Linked DNA regions of Caenorhabditis elegans. The protein of the gene in region 1 interacts with the protein of each later gene in a pairwise test. Each region holds a gene or a part of one and is shown in the gene's direction. Other genes may lie near its edges. The genes, in order: dmd-6, arrd-24, fkh-7 and klu-1.

What was found.
Region 2: the proteins of dmd-6 (region 1) and arrd-24 interact in a two-hybrid assay, tested with the Caenorhabditis elegans proteins (one large-scale study listed by BioGRID).
Region 3: the proteins of dmd-6 (region 1) and fkh-7 interact in a two-hybrid assay, tested with the Caenorhabditis elegans proteins (one large-scale study listed by BioGRID).
Region 4: the proteins of dmd-6 (region 1) and klu-1 interact in a two-hybrid assay, tested with the Caenorhabditis elegans proteins (one large-scale study listed by BioGRID).

What each region holds. Positions count from the first base shown.
Region 1 is NC_003282.8:14,614,739-14,622,614, forward strand, and holds the start of dmd-6 (DM domain-containing protein), read left to right. Parts: upstream 1-1,864; 5' UTR 1,865-1,972; intron 1,973-2,325; exon of another isoform or gene 2,326-2,346; intron 2,347-2,431; exon of another isoform or gene 2,432-2,452; intron 2,453-2,617; exon of another isoform or gene 2,618-2,638; intron 2,639-3,268; exon of another isoform or gene 3,269-3,289; intron 3,290-3,395; exon of another isoform or gene 3,396-3,416; intron 3,417-3,509; exon of another isoform or gene 3,510-3,533; intron 3,534-3,637; exon of another isoform or gene 3,638-3,658; intron 3,659-4,395; exon of another isoform or gene 4,396-4,416; intron 4,417-4,459; exon of another isoform or gene 4,460-4,480; intron 4,481-4,673; exon of another isoform or gene 4,674-4,694; intron 4,695-4,712; 5' UTR 4,713-4,716; coding exon 4,717-4,935; intron 4,936-4,989; coding exon 4,990-5,119; intron 5,120-5,443; exon of another isoform or gene 5,444-5,464; intron 5,465-6,785; exon of another isoform or gene 6,786-6,842; intron 6,843-7,278; coding exon 7,279-7,352; intron 7,353-7,770; coding exon 7,771-7,876.
Region 2 is NC_003284.9:13,978,557-13,982,322, reverse strand, and holds arrd-24 (Arrestin C-terminal-like domain-containing protein), read left to right. Parts: upstream 1-1,805; 5' UTR 1,806-1,816; coding exon 1,817-1,998; intron 1,999-2,042; coding exon 2,043-2,148; intron 2,149-2,242; coding exon 2,243-2,405; intron 2,406-2,448; coding exon 2,449-2,558; intron 2,559-2,603; coding exon 2,604-3,083; 3' UTR 3,084-3,254; downstream 3,255-3,766. Other genes in the region: F48F7.6 (Zf-C4pol domain-containing protein), read right to left, coding at 3,543-3,766.
Region 3 is NC_003282.8:5,582,796-5,587,691, forward strand, and holds the start of fkh-7 (Fork-head domain-containing protein), read left to right. Parts: upstream 1-1,888; coding exon 1,889-2,389; intron 2,390-2,789; exon of another isoform or gene 2,790-2,811; intron 2,812-3,959; exon of another isoform or gene 3,960-3,981; intron 3,982-4,422; exon of another isoform or gene 4,423-4,443; intron 4,444-4,517; exon of another isoform or gene 4,518-4,538; intron 4,539-4,618; exon of another isoform or gene 4,619-4,639; intron 4,640-4,820; exon of another isoform or gene 4,821-4,844; intron 4,845-4,896.
Region 4 is NC_003279.8:14,973,421-14,981,125, forward strand, and holds klu-1 (C2H2-type domain-containing protein), read left to right. Parts: upstream 1-1,998; 5' UTR 1,999-2,003; coding exon 2,004-2,132; intron 2,133-4,356; coding exon 4,357-4,461; intron 4,462-4,718; coding exon 4,719-4,948; intron 4,949-5,369; coding exon 5,370-5,459; intron 5,460-5,508; coding exon 5,509-5,746; intron 5,747-5,788; coding exon 5,789-6,013; intron 6,014-6,057; coding exon 6,058-6,197; intron 6,198-6,242; coding exon 6,243-6,387; intron 6,388-6,711; coding exon 6,712-7,041; 3' UTR 7,042-7,176; downstream 7,177-7,705.

The sequences.
Region 1 (7,876 bases):
TTTTGCAACAAAATTTTTTTTGTGATAATTTTGAAACAGTAATTTTTTTTCAATTTTTTTTTTCAAATTCTATAAAAATATTTCTCGCAGTTGTTTTTCATTCTATTTCGTTCCAATCAAAAAATTCTGCGATCTCTTGTTCAACATCGTTTTCTCTGATCATAATCTCAACACAAGCAGCTTTTCCTCCATGTATTTTTCGAGATGTGACGCCTTTACAGGGAGGGCGTTTGATCTCTACAAAAGCGTGAGCTACTTAGTGGGGCCAGAAAAGTGCAATTTACTTGCATAAGAGTAACAACAAAAATCATAGCGACCCCCCGCCTGCCCGGCTGTATCTCGATCACGGATCTTTTGAGTAACATCAGTTCCAATTGAATATCCGTAATTTCCGTAGTATCCGTAGTATCCGTAGGCCGTAGTTTGTAGCAGTAACAATTTTCTGGATAGAAGTTTAAGAAGTAAATCTTAAAACTTGAAATCAAGAAATAAAAATTAATAGTTTAACTTTCGAAGTTTGAATGTCAAAATTTAAAAATTTTTAAAATTTGGAAATTTTTTTCACTGTTTCAAAAATTCCATGAAAATTCCTCGCCGTTTCAAGTGTTAGTAGTAGTTCTGAAAGATCCCAATGAACATTCTGTGACTCGATATCTCCACCTCCAGCAGCAGAATCCGTTCAAATGTGGGATTTCTGCATTTACCGTGTTTTTCTTATCTAACTCGGCGGATCTAACCTTTATTCACACGTACATTCAAGAATTCAGTATTTGTAGTAAGTGTAGTTGGTGAGAAATTAACTGAAAAATTAACGAAATCCGATCTTATTTTAAGTTTTCCAAAAAAAAAAATTACTGTTTTAAAATTTATTATAAGGAAACGGTGATTTTTTCGACAATTTTTCAATCCAATTTATTTCCAATTTATTTAACTGTTCTGAATCTTAATATAAACCATGTCGCTGGAAAATATAACAATTTTATGTGCAGTTGCAATAACTAAAATTTCCAAAAAAATTTGTTTTCCGCATTTTTCTAAGTTCAAGCTTGATTTCTCATTAATGGTCGCATCTTGTTCCTGTTACAGCCAGAAACCTAAACTTTTTTCACAATTTGTTACCTGTTTGGAATGTTAATATAAATTTCGCTAAAATATATATTTAAATCTGTTGAACTGCCGTTCCCGCCAAAATTGACCAATTTTAACTTTTCGGAAAAAAAATACTGTTTCAAAATTGCATGTTCCTAATTTCAACTTTCATTTCTCAATAACTTCGGTTCTTTTTTTTCCTGTTACAGTCAAGAAACTTCCCAAAAAATCCCTCAAGATATTCATCTCCCGTGCTTCGGCCTCTTTCTACCTTGAAACTCCTACATACGCCCTTAATACGAACTGTGTCTAGTTTAATACACTCGTTATTCCCTTCCATTGCATTTCCTCATCTTCACTTCATTCTGGATCGTTTTTGATTGGGATCTGAAGCTGCGTGGAAACTGGCTTTTTCGATGAAAACGTGATCGAATTTCTGCATTAAGAATCACTGATTAAAATTTTCAATTTACAGGTTCTAATTGTACTCTTTTTTTTTTGGAAATTTTTTTCACTGTTTCAAAAATGTTTCTTCTAAACTTTTCAACAAAACCTCACTGATTAAACTTCGTCCAACATTTTCCGACAGTTTTCTCTCCATATATACTTTTAATCTTTCGGTTCCCTCTGCGCACGTGAAAAATAATCGTATTAAACAGATTTCGTATGCAAAACTTTTCCATAATTTTTTCAAAAATCACAATTTTGGCTTCTCTCTTTCCAATTTACTATACAATTTCTCCGCAAATTTTTAAAGAAATTCCTCTTTTTTCAGACTTCATCTCACTTTCATTGCCAAATCATCAAAAAGAAGCCATTTTTGGTTGGAGCTCGTGTGGCTCAACAATCAAAAAAAAATATTATTTTGTGGAGCTGGTCATTGGTAAGTTCGTGTTTTTTTTGTTGCAAACATATTTAGCCACTTGAGGTGTCTAGGAAAACCGGTGAAGATGTTTGTATAATGTTAGTCGGAAGCACAAAATTAGTGCAAATGACGTGGCGGAGGAAACGGAAAAAATTCAAAATTTTGGACTTTGGAAAAAATTAACTGTTTCAAAACATTTTGAAATTTACACAGAGAGCATTGTTTTTTTTTATAAACAAAACTTAAGTTTGAAAATTGCAATAATTTTCGTCGCTTCTTGTAGCTTGGCTGACAACCACAAAGTTTTGGTTTCAAAAATATTTTACTGTTTCAAAAAGTTCTGAAATTCACAAATAAATGTTTGTTTTTGCTATGATATCGCCCTGTATTGGTCCCAATAAACTAAACTATTCTGATTAAAAAATTTTCAACTGTTTCAAAATTTTGAAAAAAGTTCCATTTTTTTTAAGTGTTTGCTCTATTCTTTCTTTAAAAGTTTCACCTTATTGTACATTTTGTAGACACATTTTGTAGACTACAAAGGCTACGTGTTTGCCAGTTCTTTCACTTTTTGCCGTGTCACTTGTTAGTCATTTCTTACAAGAAATGGGAACTTTTCTGTTTCACAATGTCTTTTTCTTTTAAAAAAGTTTGAGCTTCAGCTGAAAAGAAGCTGAAAATTTTTGTTCCTGCTTCAAAGAGAAAAACACTGAAACTTTGAGCTTTTTGTTGTCAATTTACTCGGCGATCTTTAAAGAGACGAAGAAAAAGAAGAAATGTTTTGTCTGGCGGTTGTGTTCTCTGTTTTTGCGGGTCCCCCAACTCCAGTTTTTTGATCACTTATTTTTCCTATTTTTTTGAATCATTTTTCTTGACTTTTTCTAGATTTTTCTTCTCTGGAAAAGTCACAGAATGATGATGATAAAGTTTGTGATCAAAAACACACTTTTCGACCTCTTCAGTCATTCAACCCGGTTAGTGGGAGGAGGTGGAGAGTAGGTCAAATATTTGCACACCCCGCCTAAACTTTGTACCGCCCAATTTTATGTTCATTTTCTGTGTGCCGTGTGTAGTAGAGGAGGAGCAACAAAGAACCGAACTTACGGAACTTTGTACCTATGGAATTGATGTGTTTTGTATTAATTTCTATATTTTTTAAATTCTGTCGAAAGCACTTTGAACTTTGTGAACTTTTCATATTTTTATTTTGAAACAGTAATTTTTTTCTTCAAAATTTGAAATTTCAAAAATTCGAATTCAAAATTTTAATAAGATTTTAAAAATCTACATAAATATTTTTTGTTGAAAAATGATGAACCTACTTCGTTGGTAATAGCAAAAAAAAAAGAGTCCACAACATTTTTAATGCATATTTTGAAACAGTGAAAAATTTCACTGTTTTTAAATTTTTACGTATACATAACCGCAACATAATTTTTGATTTGTATTTCTTATTAGGAGTAAATTGTTATTTTTAGTCAGTAATCAAATTCATATGCCAAATTTCACAAAATTTACAGTGAAAGTGTTATTAAATTTCAAAATTTGAAACCGTAATTTTCCTGTCGTTCTACAAGTAGTATGCCTCTACTTTGAAATAATCAAACATTTTCCGTGAAACAGTAACTTTTTTTCGATTTTTAAAATTTTTGCAAATCCTTTACTGATGTGAGTTTTTTTATTACTAATAGAATCACATAAATATTACAGTTCCAGTTTTAAAACTCTTAAACATTTTCTGTGAAACAGTAAATTTTCATTAAGAATTCCAATTTTCAAAAATCATCTACAGTAACCTAGTTATCTCCATCTAAACGCTTATTTCCTTGTCTGAAAATGTCTTAATTTACTTCCTCTAGATATTTTCTACTTATTTTGCACAACCATCCTCTCATTTCCGTGTTCTGCTTCTTCTGTTTTGTGCTCCGTTCGCCTGGTCATCTATTTCTCTCTGTGTGTGTTCTAGATCACAATTTGTGTTGTGTTCTCCAGTGTCTCTGCTGCTTCGCGTTAGCATGTTTTTCACCCAATTTTTGAGCTTTTCGAGCCCAGACTAGTAGACCCCGAGTGATCTTCGAACACCCCCCTGTGTGTGTGTGTTCCCCGCATATGTGATTATTGAACCACTAGGGACTGGAAAAATAGGAACGAGGAAGCTGGAACACACACCCATCGAGTGTGTTTTTTTTCGAATGGGAAAAAAAAAAGAAATTACATATTTTTTTCTCTTACTCTCTTGTAGGTCCCTTTGTAACTTCCGCTTTGACCCTTGGAGCTCCTCCTCCATTTTTGTCACTATTCCTGATCAGTCTTCATGATTTTAGGTTAGCTAAGGTTAAGCTCTTGTGGATTACTGTAGTACTCTTGGAATATATATGTCTTGAAGAAAAATTACTGTTTCATTATTTTCACAAGTTTATACAGTGATCATGTTGCATCAATTTGCTGTGTGCATCTAGCAGAATTACTGTGAATCATTAAATTCAGTAAGACAATTAGATTTTTTTCGAAATTTCGGGAGCTTCATTATGTAAATCATAACTAGCCAACGAATATTCAAGTTTTGAAACACTAATTTTTAAAATTTATTGAAATTTTTTAATATTTCAATTTTCTGTTTCTAGAGGTCTGTTTTTTACACATATTTTAAACTTAAAAAATTAAAAGAATTCCTGTTTCACGCTGTTCGTAAGAAGTCTTACTTTGAAAAATCTTTTGCTCTCCTTCCGTACATATCTCAAATTCCCAATTCTTTCAGTAAAATGAGCCCACACATCATCGCTACTGTAACCATCGACGACGAGCATCATCATCATCATCACCGCAGCAACGAGAACTACTCTCCATCATCCCAAGACATGGACTCCCCAAAGCCAAAGGGACGCATCCTTTACTGCCGAAAGTGCGAAGGACACGGCGAGAAGGTGATCCTCAAGAATCACTCACCACAGTGCCCATATATTCTGTGCAATTGCAAATCGGTAAGTTCTAGAAGAGTCTGGGAGCTATTTTGTTTTCAAATTTTCAAATTTTAGTGCGAGAAGCTAAACTACAAGCGCCTGAAGTCGTTCAACAAGAGAAATAAGGAAAAGATCGAGTTGGCAGCAGCTCTGAATGCAAAGAGACATGCTCCAGAATCCGGATCCAGTGTTGACGATGAAGAAGGTGAGCTTTTCCCTGATCTCTGTCTCCTACTCCTTCACTATCAAATTAGAATCCATATAGTACCCATAGATCTCTGATTTCTCAGTTGTGTTTTGGCGCTTACTCCCTAGTTCCCCCACAAATATGCATAACTTCCGTCTAGATTTCCACAAAAATGTACTCGGTTGTTTTGTTCGTTTCTCGTACGCGATCGAAAATCTCTGTATGACTAACAACGTAGACAGCAGAACCACTGAAAGATCAAGTGTTATTTCAAAACTATTTTGGAGTTTGCGATGATGTTTCATATTTGTTAGATATTTTGGAAAGGACATGATCTTTTGATTTCAAGAGTTTACTACAAAATTCGATCCCATGACATTCACTTTTCAAAAACAAAGCAACTATTTGCCCAACTTTTGCAAAAAAGTAGACTGTAGGTACCGGTACTAGACTAATCTTTTGATAGTGTTATCAGTTTTTTTCCTTTATACCATTACAAAAATCACCTGATTCTTGCGCTTTCTGATCGTTCCAGTGTAATTCGTCGCACTTTTGGAACGCCGCAATAACAAAATTCTATATTCAGAACAAGTGTTCTTAGATCGCTGAAAATTCTATTTCCTAGTTCCATCCCTCGAATCTACGAATCTTGTTTTCGTCGTCTTGATATATACAAAAATGTGTGTCCTGATCGACTCGAACCCTCCACTGACCTTTTTGTTTTGCTCATTCGCCATCTACTTGTTTTTAGTACATTCCAGCAACTCTTTCTCCTCCTCCCCCCCCCCCTTTCATCCCTTCTCTTCGGTCGCTTCAGGACCTTGCACTCTTTCTCATTGCGTCTGCACACTCTCATCACATCTGTACTATTTCTCGTTTGCCCTGTCTGATTTTCGCAACTACTAGTCTACTCGGTTCTCATCGTCCTCTCGTTTTTCCACGTTTTTTCACATTTTAAGGCACACACACACACACAGAGAGGATGACGAAAAGGCGCTCACATTTTCAGTACACAATCACTTTTCTGTGTATGTGTTTGTGTGCCCAGCCTCCCGAGGACGACTGTCTCTTCTGTTATTCGCGAATATTTCAGGCATTTCGTCTAGTCTTCATTTTCATTTTTATGTATTATAATTTCGGTTCTGTCTTCAAAAAATTGAGCTAAACTCCTTGGAACGTCTTCCGTTTTGAGTTTTAGCTCCCTGGTTTGATCCCTTATGCAGCCCGTCTACGATCTTTTTGCATTTGATTATACGTAATTATTTTCTCTCTCTCTCTCCTTTTCATTTTTCACAATTTTCCCACTCAATTTATCTGTCTACAAAGTTATGCTTTGGTGTCTCAATGACTCACGACGGTTGGCACATATCTCGTGTCAGTTCAAAATAATAGCAATTATCATTTGAATATCCGCTGACCGATGGTTAGATTGAGCACGTATGCGCGTATGCTGGCCAAACAGAAATAGAAATTCCAAGTATGTGTCTGGAGCCGCCGGCTCGACTGTAAACAGATTTCCGTCACTTTTCTTGTTCTCAATTTTCGATGTCTACATATAAATGAATAGAGATTAGAAATCATCAAAATGGCGTTGACGTAGGCAAATGGTGAATCACATTAGCTCACATTACGTATGATCCCTGTGTTTTGGTGTGCTGCTCTTTCATATACATTTTTTTTCATTTCTCTCTCTCTCTCTCTCTCTCTCTCTCTCTCTCTCTCTCTCTCTCTCTCTTTTCTAATAGGACTGAATCAGTGGGAGTAAGTGTACACAGACTATGAAAAAATAATGTAAAAAAGGTGAGCAACACACCAGTCGCACCAAATAGTGAAGGATTTAAAGATCACCGAATTTCTATTCGCGTCTCTTTCTTCTTCCTCTCTCTCTCTCAACATGTTTCGTCTCCCATTTCACTCCGTCGTAAGCCGGCGGCATTATCCAGTGCGAGACTCCTTTCCCAAGTACGGAACCCTTGTGTCCCTCTACTGATCTTTATCCGGCACCTAGTACCTGTCCTATATACCCACACTCGGGGCCCCCCGAGAGAAAGAAAGATGCATTCGATTTTCTATTGTTTCTCATTCTGCAGTGAAACGCGAAACACTTTCCATTTTCTTCTTTTCCAACACATACACACACACAATATGTTCCAATTCAATATTTCGAAACTTTTCAGGCTTCTCCCGCCGTTCCTCATTCTGCTCAAAAACTTCAACACCAGACATGGACTCGGAGACGAGAACCTCATCGGTAAGTATTCTCCACCTAAACTAGACTCTTGTTTTGCACTTCATATGTGTAAGGCATCTGTCAATAGCTAGCTGGCTTTCTTTCTCTGAAATCGCGGTTTCTTAGGAAAATATTCTAGTCTGCTCATAGCTCTCACGCGCACCTTGACCTAACAGCTGCATGAGAAGAAGACGTCGACGACAGAACCAGTGAGAGAGGGAAAATTCTGATCTTATGGTTTTTAATCTGCTCCTGCTCCAAAGCATGCGCTCTCTCTCTCTCTCTCTCTCTTCGCACGCTGCTCTGGCTCCCTCCTCACGCAGCGGCGCTCACATTTTGTCAGAATAGGCGGAGCAGGTGCGCGAGCCCTGTTATTACTTTATCTTCTCATACTCTTGAGCTCATTTCCAATCTCATGCTCAACTATATTCCATTTCAGACGACTCCTATCACTCGTTCCAACTCCACAATGCCCACAGCTAATGGTCTTGAAGGACGAAGTGGCTCACTTGGGCACATGACAGTCATGTCCTATGATATTTGGA
Region 2 (3,766 bases), on another chromosome or scaffold:
TCGCGATAACAACTCGACAATAAGAAGCACATGAACTCTCGAACTCTCTTATTATTATTTCACGTATTATCCACATGTACATTCCTTGATCGAATCTATCATATTCGATCATTCCTCACTATTCTATCATACTGCACTCTTCTGCTTTCTAATAAAGCTCTTCTATTATTATTACAAAATATATAACATTTACTCTCTGGCTTCACCGTATTTTTTACTCTCGGGCTTCACCGTATATTTTACTCTCTGGCTTCACCGTATATTTCCCGAACTTTACCAATAATCTTAGAAAAAAATTGTCTATTCAGGGCCATATCAAGTCTCCCAAAATTCCAAAATTTTTTTTTTGTAATTTCGTCAAGGTATATGCCTGTAAAAAATAATTCGGATACAGAAACCCCTCTAGCGTGGCTTAAATTTAATTTCCAGGTCCCGAACTTTACCAATAATCTTAGAAAAAAATTTTCTATTCAGGGCCATATCAAGTCTCCCAAAATTCCAAAAATTTTTTTTTGTAATTTCGTCAAGGTATATGCCTGTAAAAAATAATTCGGATACAGAAATTCCTCTAGCGGAGTTCAAGCAGAAAAAGTGGATTTTCAGTCATACCTTTTAGTGCACAGTTTGAGAATGACTAAAAACGACCATGCAAAATTAGTAGATTTTCCAATTTTCAAAAATTAGAATCTGGCGTCAAACTAACTTTTTCAAAAATCCTGTAGCCATTTTGTTGCAAATTTTGTGTTCTTTCAGAATTTCGAAACCAAATTCAAAAAAGTGTGAAGCCAGGGAGTAAAATATTCTGTAAAGCCAGAGAGTAAAATATTCTGTGAAGCCAGAGAGTAAAATATACGGTGAAGCCAGAGAGTAAAATATTCTGCGAAGCCAGAGAGTAAAATATTCTGTGAAGCCAGAGAGTAAAATATACGGTGAAGCCAGAGAGTAAAATATACGGTGAAGCCAGAGAGTAAAATATTCTGCGAAGCCAGAGAGTAAAATATTCTGTGAAGCCAGAGAGTAAAATATACGGTGAAGCCAGAGATTAAAATATTCTGTGAAGCCAGAGAGTAAAATATTCTGTGAAGTTAAAGGCATGAAACTAAATACTCAAGATCGTCTTTTGTACATTACACTTCCAATTTAAGACTTACAGTTCCATTTCTTGCACTCCATGCAATCGTTTCTCCAGAGACGTAGTCAACTTCTGCAGAGTAGTGCACAATTTCAGTATAACTTTCCTCTTTTCCTTCACAATTACTAAACTCTTGTATGTCATTAGGTCTAGATGTCTTGGAGCTTACGTTCTGTATCGTCGTTCCCCTTCACTCCACTTCGTATGCGCAGCACCGTGAAAACAGATTTTCAAGAATCGGGCAGTGATTGGCTCGTTGGATCTCAAAACAACCTGCCCAGTAACAGTTTGACCTGGTGCATAACCTCTCGGGCTATCGAACACAATTCCAAAGTGATCCATATGTTCCATATCTAAACTAAAAAGATACAAGGAAATTTAGAATTTTAATTAAGGAAAATGTTGTATGATTATAAAATGAATGAAAACTGATAAAATGAAGTGGTTATCAAATAAATTGCCGTTTTATAATATAAATATGATTTCACAAAAATCAAATAACGCACGGTATAAGACTGATGACGACATTTTACCTCCTGATTACGCGTTTTGAGTCACAATATATTATAAAACGGCAATTTATTTGATAACCACTTCATTTTATCAGTTTTCATTCATTTTATAATCATACAACATTTTCCTTAATTAAAATTCTAAATTTCCTTGTATCTTTTTAGTTTAGATATGGAACATATGGATCACTTTGGAATTGTGTTCGATAGCCCGAGAGGTTATGCACCAGGTCAAACTGTTACTGGGCAGGTTGTTTTGAGATCCAACGAGCCAATCACTGCCCGATTCTTGAAAATCTGTATTCACGGTGCTGCGCATACGAAGTGGAGTGAAGGGGAACGACGATACAGAACGTAAGCTCCAAGACATCTAGACCTAATGACATACAAGAGTTTAGTAATTGTGAAGGAAAAGAGGAAAGTTATACTGAAATTGTGCACTACTCTGCAGAAGTTGACTACGTCTCTGGAGAAACGATTGCATGGAGTGCAAGAAATGGAACTGTAAGTCTTAAATTGGAAGTGTAATGTACAAAAGACGATCTTGAGTATTTAGTTTCATGCATTTAACTGATAACAAACTACAATATTGTTACAGGAAAAACTTCCATCTGGCCACCATGTCTTCCCGTTTGCATTTCCACTCCCGATAGAATGTCCACCTAGTTTTGAAGGTTTCCACGGCCACGTTCGTTATTCCGTGCGAGTTGAGCTTGACAGACCATGGAAGTTCAACAAAAACGAAAGGGAAGACTTCAAAGGTATTTCGAAAATTGTTAATGTGCGCAAAAAGTTATTTTTCAGTTATTCCCAACTTTGACTTGAATCATCTTCCGTTGGGAAATGTTCCTAGAATGATGAAGGATGTGAAGGACATTGGGCAAATATTTAAAAAAGGAATAGTAACAATAACTGTGAGTACAACGCTGCTACATTGATAGGTTATTTAATGCTTTCAGGTAACTATCCCCAAAGCAGGATATGCTCCTGGAGAATACCTGCCAATCACAATCGACATTGACAATGCTTCCAAACGTGCAGCAACGTTTGTGCGAGCTGAACTTCATCAGCACTCGCATTACAATGCTAGCAAAAACCATGGCCTCTTATGCACTCATTCGTCTTACCACGAACATCACAAGGATGAAAGCAAACGTATTGCAGAAGCTCGAAAAAGCATAAAAATTGCTCCAAAAACCGCTGGCCGTGAAATGCTGCGGATGAAAATCCCAAAGTCGCCACCAACATTTACAAGTCCCATTATCAGCATTGAGTATTGTCTTTCTGTGAGGTTGGACACTTTAACAACCCTTAATAATACATTGCACTGCGAGTTTGATATCATCATCGGCACAGTGCCAATAACTGAATCGATCGTGGAGCCAACGGTAACTACCTTTCCGTCTGATCCACCTGTCCTTGAGCGGCTGGATTCCTAACCTCCAGCCTATTCAACTGTGGTTCCAAGTGCTCCGACCGATGATACAGCGGGAACATCCGCTCTACCGCCGTCTTATGAGGAATCAATGTGTGTAACTAAAATTTAATTGGGTATTTTATTTTATTTTTTCTTGTATAATTGTGAATTAATAAAATTCTGGCCATTTACATTAGTCAATCAATTTTCTTTCTCTATTGCTAAACATTGAGTTTCAAAAATATTCATTTGGCAAAAAATAAGGTAGGGTAGATTCAAAAAACTATAAGGATGAATTGTAAATTACAAGTTTATTACAATCAACAGATAAGTTTAAAAAAAAACATTTCAGAAAATAATATGAGGAGTAGTGATATTCGAGATTGACGGTGAATTTTTATAGACAATTTTACAGGATTTTTTTGTGAGCCACTTTTTGTGCAGTAGTGAAACAAGATAACAGTGCAACGACGACAGCAACTTATTCTAAAAGATAGGAAATGTGAGTGGTTGTCCGGCCATAGACATTTGGACAATCTGCTTTAACAAAGACAGTACGTTGAGCAAGGCAGAAACGCTCAATAATTTCCGATTTCTTGGCCACAAGTTTGGCGGCAAGTCTTTGGCGAACACCTTTATTGTCTTCCTCTGCGTGTTTGTATTCAGATCTTTGCATTCGACGAGCTTTACGTCCTTGCTTTGCCA
Region 3 (4,896 bases), 9.0 Mb from region 1:
TTGCTAAAAAACAGCCAGAATAATCTGCAATTTAGAGGCACGATTTTAAAATTTTTCCAAATCTTAATATTTGAATTTTCTCCACAATGAGCAGACACGCCCACTTTCAAACCAATCAGCGTCTTCCAAGTCTTATTGGCTGAAATGTGGGCGGAGCGATGCGTTGATTGGTCTTGCAGTTCTAATTTTGGATGGAGTTCAAATAGGGAAAACACAATTGAAAAGTTGTGTTTTTAAAAGTAGAATTTTTAACATTATTTTTTCAAATTTATAGTGAATAGGACAAATCCTCAGCCATTTTGCTCCATCTTTAATTTTTTTTTTTTTTTGGAATTTTCTAAAATTTGATCTCTGAACTTTTCTGGAATTTTACCAAAGTACTTCACCACAAAAAAAATTTTCCCACCAGAAATTAATCTGCTATGTCCAGTTTCGAACCTTTACTTCATCTTAAAATCTCACGAAATTTCAGAACTTTTCCAAAAAAGTTTTTTCCCCTTTCGAATTAAAAAAGTCAAGTGACCTCATGTGATATAATTCTACCTGTCGAAACGGTAAAATAATGTTTCTTTCGTCGTAAACAACACACACGCCTTATTATTTGTGTCTATGACCGAATAAGGTCTCTCAAAATGACTGTTAATTTTTGGGAGACTATAATCAAAATTAAAAAAAAAGAAAAACGATAGTGAAATCAATGCGAAAATTCTGGAAATTCAAAGTTTCTGAATTTCAGATGCATCAATAGATCTTATGATAGATTAAAAATCGTTTGACCTTATGATTCTTTTATGATTAAAATCTTATGACAATAACTTTCAATGAGAAGTTATTGATCAGGTTTCGTGAAAAAAAAAATAGAAAAAATTCCACATATTGAAGTAAAATCACTGAAACTGAAGATTGCCTCAAAAAATCAAACAAAGTTGAAACAGAATAAATATTTTTGTTTTTAATTTTCTTTTAATTTTTTATACAATTTCTATGGAGGCATTTGTCCATTAAATTAGTTTCTGTTTTATTTTTCAATAATTTTTCTCTTCAAAAATAATAATTTCTGACTATTTCCTAAAATGTTCAAATTAAATATCAATAAAGTAAAAAAATTTGGCGAGGTTTATTTCTAAATTAGTAAAAAATCAGATTGTCGTAAACATAAACAGTCTTTGAATTCACTATTTTTGCGTTATTGGAATTGAAGTTAAAAAATTTTGAAAAACGACAAGATATCACACTAACAAAATATAATGTTTTAGAATGTTCATATACGCCAATGAATATTACTTATATTATTAAAAATCGAAATATGGGAAATTAAAAATGATTATTTTTTATTCAAACAATTAAAATTGAAAATTGAAAACAAACCTAGATTGAACAAAAAAATTTTCTGTTTCGGGTTCCTAATTTGAATTGTGGGAAATAATTAACAACGATTTTTCAACTTGTTGCCAAGTCTAACTTTCCATCTAAACTTCCCAGAACTTGGATCTCCAAATTAACACATTTTCTGTAAATAATTTTTTGAACTGAAAAATGACCACTAATTCCGTAGACAGATATTTTTCCAATGTGCTCAAAAAAAAGTTTAAATTTTTTATTTTTTAAACTCATCAAAATATGACAACAGTACTATTCATAAAACTCATTCAGTAGGTATTTTAGCTATTCTTTACAAAATTTTGATTTGATTCGATTTTCTTCTTTTTTTAATTTTCAAGCAGTTAAAATGAACATCTAAACTTGCAAATACAAATTAAACTGCGAAAAAAGAAAATTTACCGTTTCAAATGTTTCTTATGAACCTTAAACATGTTCTAACTTGAAATGTGACATACTGTGCATACTTACACAAAATATTACAGACGTCTCAAATAATCCCTATCAAATGCCATTTTACATCCAAACTCCACCGCTGACACCAGCACAACATTTATCCTCAACATCTACAGTTACATCTCCAACTAGTCAAAATAATCATTTATTGGCAGAAGACGAAGAGCAAATAGACGTTGTTCATGAAGAAGAGGAAGAAGATATGGAAGAAATGAAAATGGAAATTGAAATGCAATCAAAGAGTTTACATCAGAAACCATCAGGATTACGAAGAAGTTTTCGACCTTTGATTGCTTCGGAACTAAGATCTGGAGGAATTCATAAAACTAGTAGTGACTCGAATTTAAAGCGATTGGCAGGACCATCATCATCTGATTCTGCTGGAACTTCTGGTTATGGGTACCTTCCCCGTCCAGCATCAAATCTTCCAGCTGGAATAAATCATGAATTCAAAATTGATCCACTTCAAACAGTTCAACAATTTCTTCAAATGCATCAATCTCTCATGAACTCACCATCAGTTCCGACATGCCTTTCGAAACTTTTGATCGATGTAAGTTGTTTTTCTTATTCTGTTTTACTCATTTCTTTCACTGCTCACACTTGTTTTCTACACAAATATCTTTCCATCTTTGCCTTTTCAGTCCTCAAAAATCAACATTTCTTTGGTTATTTTTTTCAAAACATCTCTTGATTCAAATTCATCAAACCAGAAAAAAAGAAAATAAAATCAAAATTTCTAAGAATTCCTTCGAGTGGTTCATATCCAAACTTATCATGCCTTCCTAGAAAAATGCTGCAAATTTCCGATTGCACCTCTCATAAATCATAATATTTTCCTTCAGTTTTTTGAACTTTCATATGTCTGAATATGTGTGTCTGGAAGTTAATGTTCCGTTGAAATTACGAATCATGTTTTTCAGCACTTTTTCATTTAACTTTAACTTTGAAATTTCAATTTAAACGAACCAGAAACATTTATAGCAAAGCATGAGAAATTATCTAAACATCTTGAAACATACTTTTTTTTAACTAAAAATTTTATGGTGAAAATTTTCAATTATGTAGCTTAAACTTTTTTTTAATTTTTAATTTCCATGCGTTTAAAATTATCACTATTCGAAAATAGTACTGCATGCTTTTTACCGGCCCAATATATATTCGGAGTGAGTCTAGACAAATTTTTGATGAATCGTTTTTTACTGTTTCAGAGGGTTTTAAAAATGTTTAGCGGATATTTTTGATTATGCAGACTTTAAATACTTGACAAATTAGAAAAAACCGAAAAATAAAATATTGAATATTTGTTTATATTTGTTACAAATTTGAAACAACAATAGTTTTTTTCTGGTAGAAATATTGTTCCACTCAAATTTGAGCAACTATTATTATCCTTCCTCAAAAAACCACTTTTTTTAAAAGTACAGTAACTCCGAACATGTTCCCATGATACTTTGTGATCACAAAGCAACATATGCTAACTTAATATTAGGTGTCCGTATACACAATCATATAAAATAGGATTTTTGCACCTGTTTTTAAAAGGCTGTCTGGAGCAGCTCGCGGAGCCATATCAAATCATGAATTCTTATTTCGGTGTTTTCTTTTTTCCAGTTTGTTGAGCTCAAATCCCTTCAAGAAAACAAGAAAACGTCTATTTAGTTTGTTGTCCTTCTTATCACTCCGCCCCCCTCTCTGGAGGGTTACTGTAGTTGTCATTTCTGTTTACTTATACCCTTTCCAATTCTCTATGGGTATTTGTGTTTTCTTTCCAATTTCCTATCCACCCGAGTTTTCAATGCCATCGTCCACACACTTTTCTCCAAAATAACATCGAAAACAGACTGGTAAAGTGAGAGAGATGAGGAACACACACACACACACACTAGTCTGTGTGTGTGTGTGTGTCTAAAAAAAAGAATAACAAAATAATAAAAACAACTCGTGATCTCAGTGTCTCTCTACTCTTTTGGTGCGCACGATCTGTGAGTTGTCTGCCATTGGTTGCCACGTCATCATCTGGAATGAATGAGCAATCGAAAAAGGTTCCGTGTAGGCGAAAAACCCCGCCTGACATGGAAAATGGAGTAATGTCAGTGGAGATTTTTAATATTACACATAGTTTATCCTACCCAAATATCCTAATAAAAAACTCCATAAATTTTCAGATTTTAAAAATTTCAGAAACAGTAAAAAATTTTTGAATTTTTTAAAAGTTAAACTTTTCAAAACGGTTAGTTCATAAAGTGAACATTGGTCATTTTAGCACCACATGAAGAATTTTAAACAAATGTCCCATTGGCGATATTCCTGTAAGTTAACTTCGGCTTGGCTTGAACGATCCTGCTGACAGATTTCTCGCAAATGTTATGAAACTTCCAAGAAATTAATACAAATGTAAATATAGGAATCCCCCTAAAACTTTCATAAATACAAAATACTAGAACCCACACCAAAATTCTGTAAACTTGCGGCAGGCAGGCAGGGAGGCGTATTTGCCTAAAAACATAGAATCCGTGGAGTACTACGACAGATTTACAGATAGTTATTTTTATCTGAACTTTTCTGAAAACCTAACTATGTATATTTATCGGAATCATGAATTTACCAATGTGAAAGATTGTATACAGTTTAACAGAAATAAGTGAAACAGAAAAATATTTCAAAATACTAAAAAATGATTAACAACCAGTTCTGAAAAAACGAAGGTTTCAGAATCAAATTTACTTTTAAGACAAAATGCTAAAACGGGCGTCGCAATTTTTTTTATTATAATGAATTATTGTGCACCATCGACTTTCGACTGGGTGCTCGAAGCATGCAAGCTATGTTGTAACACTTTTGAAACAGTGTAAAATATTTTGAAAATACTTAAATTGAAAAGTTTCAATTACCCTGTAACTGTGAATATATTATTTTTTTGGTCAGAAGTAGACTGTTTCAAAAGCAAAAATATTTGATAGAACTTTGATAGAACTGATCATTTTTAGACCTGATAGACCTGATCATTTTTATTCGCCGACGTCGAAAATATTTTAAGATGAATGTGAAACATGAGGA
Region 4 (7,705 bases), on another chromosome or scaffold:
GTGCCGTGAATGCATACGCTTTCTCCGCAAAAATCACAAATCATCATGCGACACCTTCTTGACCGGAAAGTCAAGAATCCACCTGTTTTTATCAAGGCAAGAGTCACATACATAATCGGCTTGTCATGAGATCTGTCTTCAAAATGAGAAAGTTATTTCAATCAAGCTGATAGTGAGACATTTGGGATGAAGATCATCTTCTTCCCACATTCCCTGTATAATTTTTCATTTTATTTCAACTTTTTTCTGAGAAAAAATCTGAAGGTAAATCTGAAGGTTTGCTCTCTTGTTCTCGAACCCAAGCATAATTGAATTTTTAGATAACATGATCAACACCTCACCCTCCACTTTTTTAATAATATACCATTGATTTTCCGACATTATGAATTTCAAATGAAGTTCCACATTTGCCAAACTTCTGGAAATTTTAGTTAAAAATCCGTGCGTTTTGGTGAAAGATTTCGGTTTGCTTTATTTGTTTTCAGTATTTTTTCAGTATTTTTCAGAGATTTCAGTATACTGTTTTTTTTTAAAGTAGAATTTTTGAAAAAGTTAGTTCTAAAACACTTTTGTTGGTAGACCAAAAATTCTCAAAAATCATTTGTACTATTGATTTTTTGAACAAAAATAATGAAAATGTGTCTGAGCTAATTTTTAATTTCTAACAACACATTTGATTCTAATGCATTAAATTTGAAAACCCCAAAGTACTCAAAAATTTCTAAATAATTTGCTAGTATTTTTTTACTTTTCTTAGACACATTTGCATCATTTTTGATTAAAAATCAATAATTCTGAACAAAATATTTTTGAACGAGTTTTTTTCCAAATTTTTTATTTTTCTTACCTCAATTGAATTAATAACTAATCAAAATTCGCACATAGACCTTACATGAAAGCTGAAAAGAAGCGAGATCGGGCAGAAGCCAGAAAAATGGCACCGCGTTGGGTCGCTTCGGGAGGTAGATAATTTTTGTGGCTACCAACAAATGAAAAACCATAGTTGAACGCATGAATTCTCATAATTTCAAAAAAAATCGGAATGCAACAAAACAAGGTATGAAATTTTACCCAGAACTTATTGACTCCACCTAATACCACACTTTGTATAATGATACAGTAGATTTCTATGGGATTTAGAACTGAAATTTGAACATGAATCGCTAACATTTTCTCATTAAAAAAATACTATGGCAACCCTAAGTCACAGTGAGTAAGGCTCAGTGAGTGCCCTCAAAATTTAGAAAAGAAGTGATGGGTTGCGTGCAGGCCTCTGCTTTTTTTTGTTTATGCCGTTAAAATAAATGTATTGAGATTTTACGTACCTGCATAGATAAACAATATTATTTATCACTAACTTCACTGATCCCTAACTACGTAATCTAAGAAAATCCAAGTGATCGGTTAATCTATCGACCAAATCTATAAAATCGCAGATGAATCCCAGTTAAACCTTGGAAATTTTCGGTGAAGCCGATTTGCTCAAAACCTCCAGTTACGTAACCTTTTAAGCTTTTTTGATGGGCAGCAGCCATTCAAAATATTGTGAAGCTGTCACTTGTATATGTATATATATATATAAGGAAAGGTGGTAACCGAAATTATTTCTTTCGTCGTTTTACCAAATTAAAAAAATCTTAGAACTCCAAATTTGCCAAACCTTATTTTTAAAAAAAGGCACAAGGCAGTCGTACTAGGTAACTTGAAATGTAATTTTAATTTTATTCAATTTTTTTTTTAATTGCATTTAAATTGCGGAGTTCTAAGATTTGTCACAACTCTTGATTTTTTAATTCGGTGACATCATTTATCATGTTCCAATAATCAGAACACTTCTAAACCGATCCCCCTAGAAAGTTGTCTTCTACTAATTTCCGTCAGGGAGTTCTACCCGCCCGTTAGCCCATTTCCGGTGCACTTTTTTCGCATTTATTATACTTTCCTTGTGCCTTTCCCAACTTTAAAGTCGCAAATCAAAATAATGATTTAAAATTCCAGGTGGGATGAGCCAGAGTGATGAAGCATCTGTAGCAGAGCCTACAGTAGTAGTTGCGACACCAGTTGCAGTTGCAGTAACAGCCCCAGCAACACATCCACGGAAACCTCCGGCATTGGTGATCTCAACAATAGCGGTAAGGAGTGTTCCACATTGAACTTCCCAAGAGAATTTCTTGGTTTTCACCGAAAAAAAAACAAGAAGATTTTGGTCTTGTATAGTCGTATGCACACATCCTTTTTCTTTTCCTTTTTAACTCTATTTTTAGAATCTTTTCTTTATGGGCTTGGGAAAAAGAAGGAAAAAAGTGGGGGAGCAGGAAAAGAAGAAAAAACGAAACATATGGAGAATGGATGATGTATGATGTTTTCTGGCTATCATAATTTTGTAGTTGTAGTCAAAATGTGATGGATGACATTGAGAATGTGGGTGGATTACAGTTGGGAGGGCCTATTGGAATACAAATGTAGGTTTGAGTATCGAAAAAATACGAACGAAAGCTACGAATTTTGGAAACTGTTCACGAATACTTTTATTATTTTACGAAAAAAAAGCAAAGATACATTTGTTGGTCGAGTTTTAACTTTTTCTGGGTCACAACTATAAATAAGCTCCATATACGCTATTAAAACTATTCCGAAAGACAAAGTGCCGTAACCTAGCTAATATATTTTTTGTAACTAATGATCGTGTTTTCATGAAGTCACTTCAACATGAATATCATATGTTCAATAACTACCTTTGTGTCTGCTTGGCGCTTGTTTTTTGCTATTGTTTAATCAATCAATTTAAATAGGTTCACGTGGATTTTGGCAGCAGTGAACGTGCCAAAAGTTCGAAAACCGTGCGCGAAGCCTATCACCACTAGATTACTTTACTGCATTTTCTTCAAACAAAAAACTGTTTTTCTGAAAATCATAATATCATCACCCACGCCACCCGTATTGAAAAAAACCACAAATCCGATTAAGCATATAGTTCTTGAATTTACATAATTCCTCATTGACGTCATCAAAGGGTAAATGTTGATCTAATGGAATGAGGAGAGCAATGATAAAATGCAGGGGGGGGGGGGGTTGCAGTAGTGAATTTTTGTTTGGTTGGCGGGTGCATCTTATGGAGAAGTTTACTGCGCCATATCTGCATGTTTACCTGCAGCTAATTGTTGGCAACATCGATTTAGGTTATCTTTATATCATTTCTTACTTAAAAATGTCAACTTCGGGAGTAGACAGGCAACTATGTTGCAGCAGGTTTGGTTAAAGTGATAAAGTTGAAACACTAGAGTTCTAGATTTGTAGAAAATTTCGAATGTGCACCATCCTATCATGCAACTCGGTTTCCTGAGTCACAGACCATTTGAAAAGAAAAAAAAATAGAGTAAAGTATGAATAATAATTAGATGTCTCTCATTTTTTACTTTTCTGCTCACTTTTAGGTCATTTCTTTCCCCCCCCCCCCTTTTTTTGTCCCATTTTTACGCTCGATATATTTTTTCAATCTAGTAGTCAACAACAAGACCAACAAAAAAATAACGAACTGAAAAATTCGTCTTACTTCCGTTTTCCACTCCCTCGCAGTTTTTTATGCGTGTTTGTGTGGCTCGAATATGAAAACTCTAAATGAATATGAGGAAGAATGTGAAAAACTACAACAACGTTCGATCACCTTTCAGGTTAGTTGATAGGCTTACTAGTTTGTGATACCTAAATAGGTGATAATGTGACCAAATATTGTAATAACACTTTTTGAATTTCACAAATAACTTATAAATAGTCAAATTTTTCGAACGTTGACGATATTTTTTCCTACTGTTATGTTATACGTTTTATCGGAAACCCTTGTTAGGCATTGTTGTCGAAATATATATCACTACTAAACTTTTTCAAAAGACCAAAATCCAAGTACGTATTCGGACTTCCGAAGTTTTACATTTTGCCAAATTTGATCAATAAACTTAAAATACACTTTAGACTAGAAAACTGAAAAAAACCGAAATTTTAGGTTAGATGCACATGAATGAAATCAGTTGGCATTAGGTAGACATATTTCTCTTTTTGATAATTGCACAATTTTCAATTATATTTTTGCATGTATCAATTTACATAATTATACATTGTCTGCTAGTTTGAATTCTATCTATAGAAAAGGGTTTTTAATTAATCTATGAACCTGTTGTACTACTGGTCTTGGAATCTCGTGTGAATTCTGAAACCCTAGCACGCTAAGGGGAGCCAGAGGTTAAAAGTGTTTGAAGGAAGGATCAGATTTCACGTATGGAGGGGGTTAATGGGAATTTCCAAATAAGAAAAAAAAACGACTAGGAGGGGTCGAAACGGCATGAAATGAGCATTTTTCAGTGTCCGACAATATACGAGCAAGCTCCCTCAAAGCCAGCTTCACCAACAATGCCGCTCAGTCCATATGAAGGGATTACCGCAGATTTGATGCAACGTATTCAATTGGTAAGGGAACTAAAGTTTGTAAAAGAGAATTAAAGTCGCATTATCATCTCCAAAAGAAACTTTTAGACAATATCATAACAACAATAGCAGAAAGCTTAAGCTCAATTCATTTAGTTCTAACTGCTCTTTTTCGTAAACTCCCTGCTTCGCCCTGAAAATTGATTTCATGTTAAACTTAAAATTATAGGTGGCAAACCCCTTATTTCTAAAAATAAATCATAGGTGTGTATCTTTCTACCTCCACCCACAACTTTCAGTTTTCCTCTCAATTTGACCACGCCCGTCTATCGCCGAACTATGCGACATCAGACCTTGGATCGTCGGCACGGTCGAGCTTCTCCTCCACAACTTCGTCGTTCTTAACGTATCGCGATCGAAGTGTAGACTTTGACGAGGCTGGCAAAGAGTTGATATCGCCGTTTGATTGTGACACTAACTGCTCTGGAACTCCCTACTCCCTGTCGACCAACTCGGGAAATCACTTTTCGTAAGTTTTAAGTAGATATGGAAATTGGTGACAAATATGTTGAGTTAACAAGGGATCTGTAAAATTATCACTAATTATAGCCGCGTTGCAAACATGATTTGGCCCGGTTTTGGTCAGTATCCCACTGATGGTTATCTATTCTGCCGGCTGGAACTTAATTTTTATTTGATTATGAGAATCTCAATCAACGAAACAACACGTAATAAAATGCCAAAACATGCATTAAAAGATGATAATCAAATAAAAATTAAGTTCCAACCACTGCAACACCGAGAAGCTGCCAAGATTTGAGATTTTAGCTAAAAATAGGCCGTTTTTTCCAAAACTTTAAGCGGACATAACTTTCTTTGGAAAATTTTTGGAACGTCTCATTACGAAATTCCTGAGTTGATGCGGATATTTAAAGTTGATATATCTACAGGTTTGAAGCTCGCTCGGTGTCCTCGCTGGGCCACAGCACAGCCCACTTTAATCAATTGCTCGCGGCGGGTGCTGCATATGAACTATCCAGGTGACAATAATAACTCCGACTCCTGTTTTTAAAATTAAGTGTTATGCAGAGAGCGTAGCAGGTCAGAAAGCGATATGCAACCCACGCAGGAGGATGACGTGAGGCATCTTAACACATCGACTATCTCGGTGCCGATTTACGCTAAAAAACCGCTTCACAAGTTTGGCGGGGAGATCAAGCGGAGTAGTAGTACGCCACCACCGACGTCTGATGAGCGAGAGCAGGTGGAGCAGCGGTTGTTGTTGAGACCTTCGTCGGGAATGGAAATCAAGAAGGACTTGGAAACGGTATAGCACTCCACCTACATCTCAACATTGTCTATATTTCAGACCAATTCCTTTGTGAGCAGCTGGGCTCGAGAACAGATTTTTGCCATGCAGAATGCAACCATGTACAATTTGTTAACCGCTCGTTCTGCAGAAGATTGTTCAACTATTTCGACACCAGGACCTTTGAAAGTTTTCCCCAGAAGCAAAGATGACATGACGTTCGCACCGAGAGATGACTCAAGTCGTGCCAAGCAAATGCAGTACCCATGTACACTTTGTGGGCAGGTACACATTTGTCGAAATGGAGGACCCTACACAATTTTTTTCAGGCGTTTGCGGTACATGATCGATTAGCTAAGCATATAGCGTCTCGACATCGCCAGCGAAGTTGTACATTAGATGATGCTTCTAAAGTCCACAAATGCAACATGTGCTCAAAAAGCTTCTCGAGAAGTGATATGCTGACAAGGTATACAATTTTGATTAGACAAAACGACACATATTTTTTATTCAGGCACATGCGTCTTCACACGGGAGCAAAACCATACAGTTGTCCGACATGTAATCAAGTATTCTCTCGTTCTGACCATTTATCCACTCATCTGAGAACACATACAGGCGAAAAACCATACGCGTGTCCAATGTGTAATTATTCAGCGGTAAGTATGTTCAGATCATTCAAATCATTATGTTAGATTCCGCGTGCTTTGGAGTCTAGTTGATTTCCGTTTAAAACACACGTCCACTTTCCCAATCACAGCTTAACTTGGAACAGAACATAGTCCTATCTTCTGGCTGGTGTCGCGTTTAAGATTAAACATTTCTAATATTTGCTTCATGATCAAGATTTAAATACGTCTGAATCATTTTTCATCATGCGACGCTAACCAGACGTGAGATCTAAAGACTCTCGGTAAAATAATGTTGAACTGCTCGAATATACTCAGATTTTCAAAGTAAAAGTCAACACATAATATTTATAGAGCCGCCGCGACATGATCTCCCGTCACATGCGAACTCATTCACTGACAGATGACTCCAGTATCTCAACTCCAATATCTCAATTGTCAATCCGAAGTGCAACTACTTCACCACTACCACCAAAGATCGGGTCAACTGCAACCGTTGAAATTGGTTCTGGATTGTTGTCCGCATTCAAACCAATACTTTCCGCATCATCATCAAATCTTCTTTCCGTGTCTTCACCCTTCCAATCACTTTCTCTCTCAACACCACCATCTCCATCGTTCGCACCTATTGTACTCAATCGGCAGTTATCATTTGATGTTACGATGCGCAATACTACGTCTTGATACCTGTATCAGGTTCCTTCCGTTTTTTGCTCTATGAACAAAAGTAAATGAACAAAAAACTTTAAATTTCAATGACGGGTTTCGCCTCGATTACTGTAATTTTATTAATATTATATATAAATAAAAAATTTAATATATAGTTTTTGTTTCGCCAGAAGTTAAATTTTTGATGAAAAATTTTCTGAAGAAATTTCAGAAAAGTGTGTGGAAGCCATTGGCAAAATTTAAGAAGGTATACATTTTTCTTGCAGACATTAATAATGCATCCAGCCATTTTCGAGATATACTCAGTAATGGGCATACGGCAGAGAAAATTTGGTCAAGGTTGTAGTACCGTTTCGAAAGATTACTTTCAAAGTGGATAAAAATTATCGTGCTGTTCTGTTATAAAGTATTCTTATCACAAATTTAAAAGAAACTAGGAGCTCTTCTATTTTTCCGTTAATCTTTCTATCTATTCGAATCAAAAAAAAATTATTGAAAGATTAGACCGCCGGAGAAGTGAGAGAGAAGAAGTAATTAGTGAACGGAGGTATCGCTAGTCTTACTAAAATTACTCAAACTCTTGATCTATTCCGAACTTCACCTTATCAAATTTTAGCTCTTACCGAAACCTTCCTTGACGAATCAGTTCCGAACTCTTTATTCTCATCTCAAGACATCT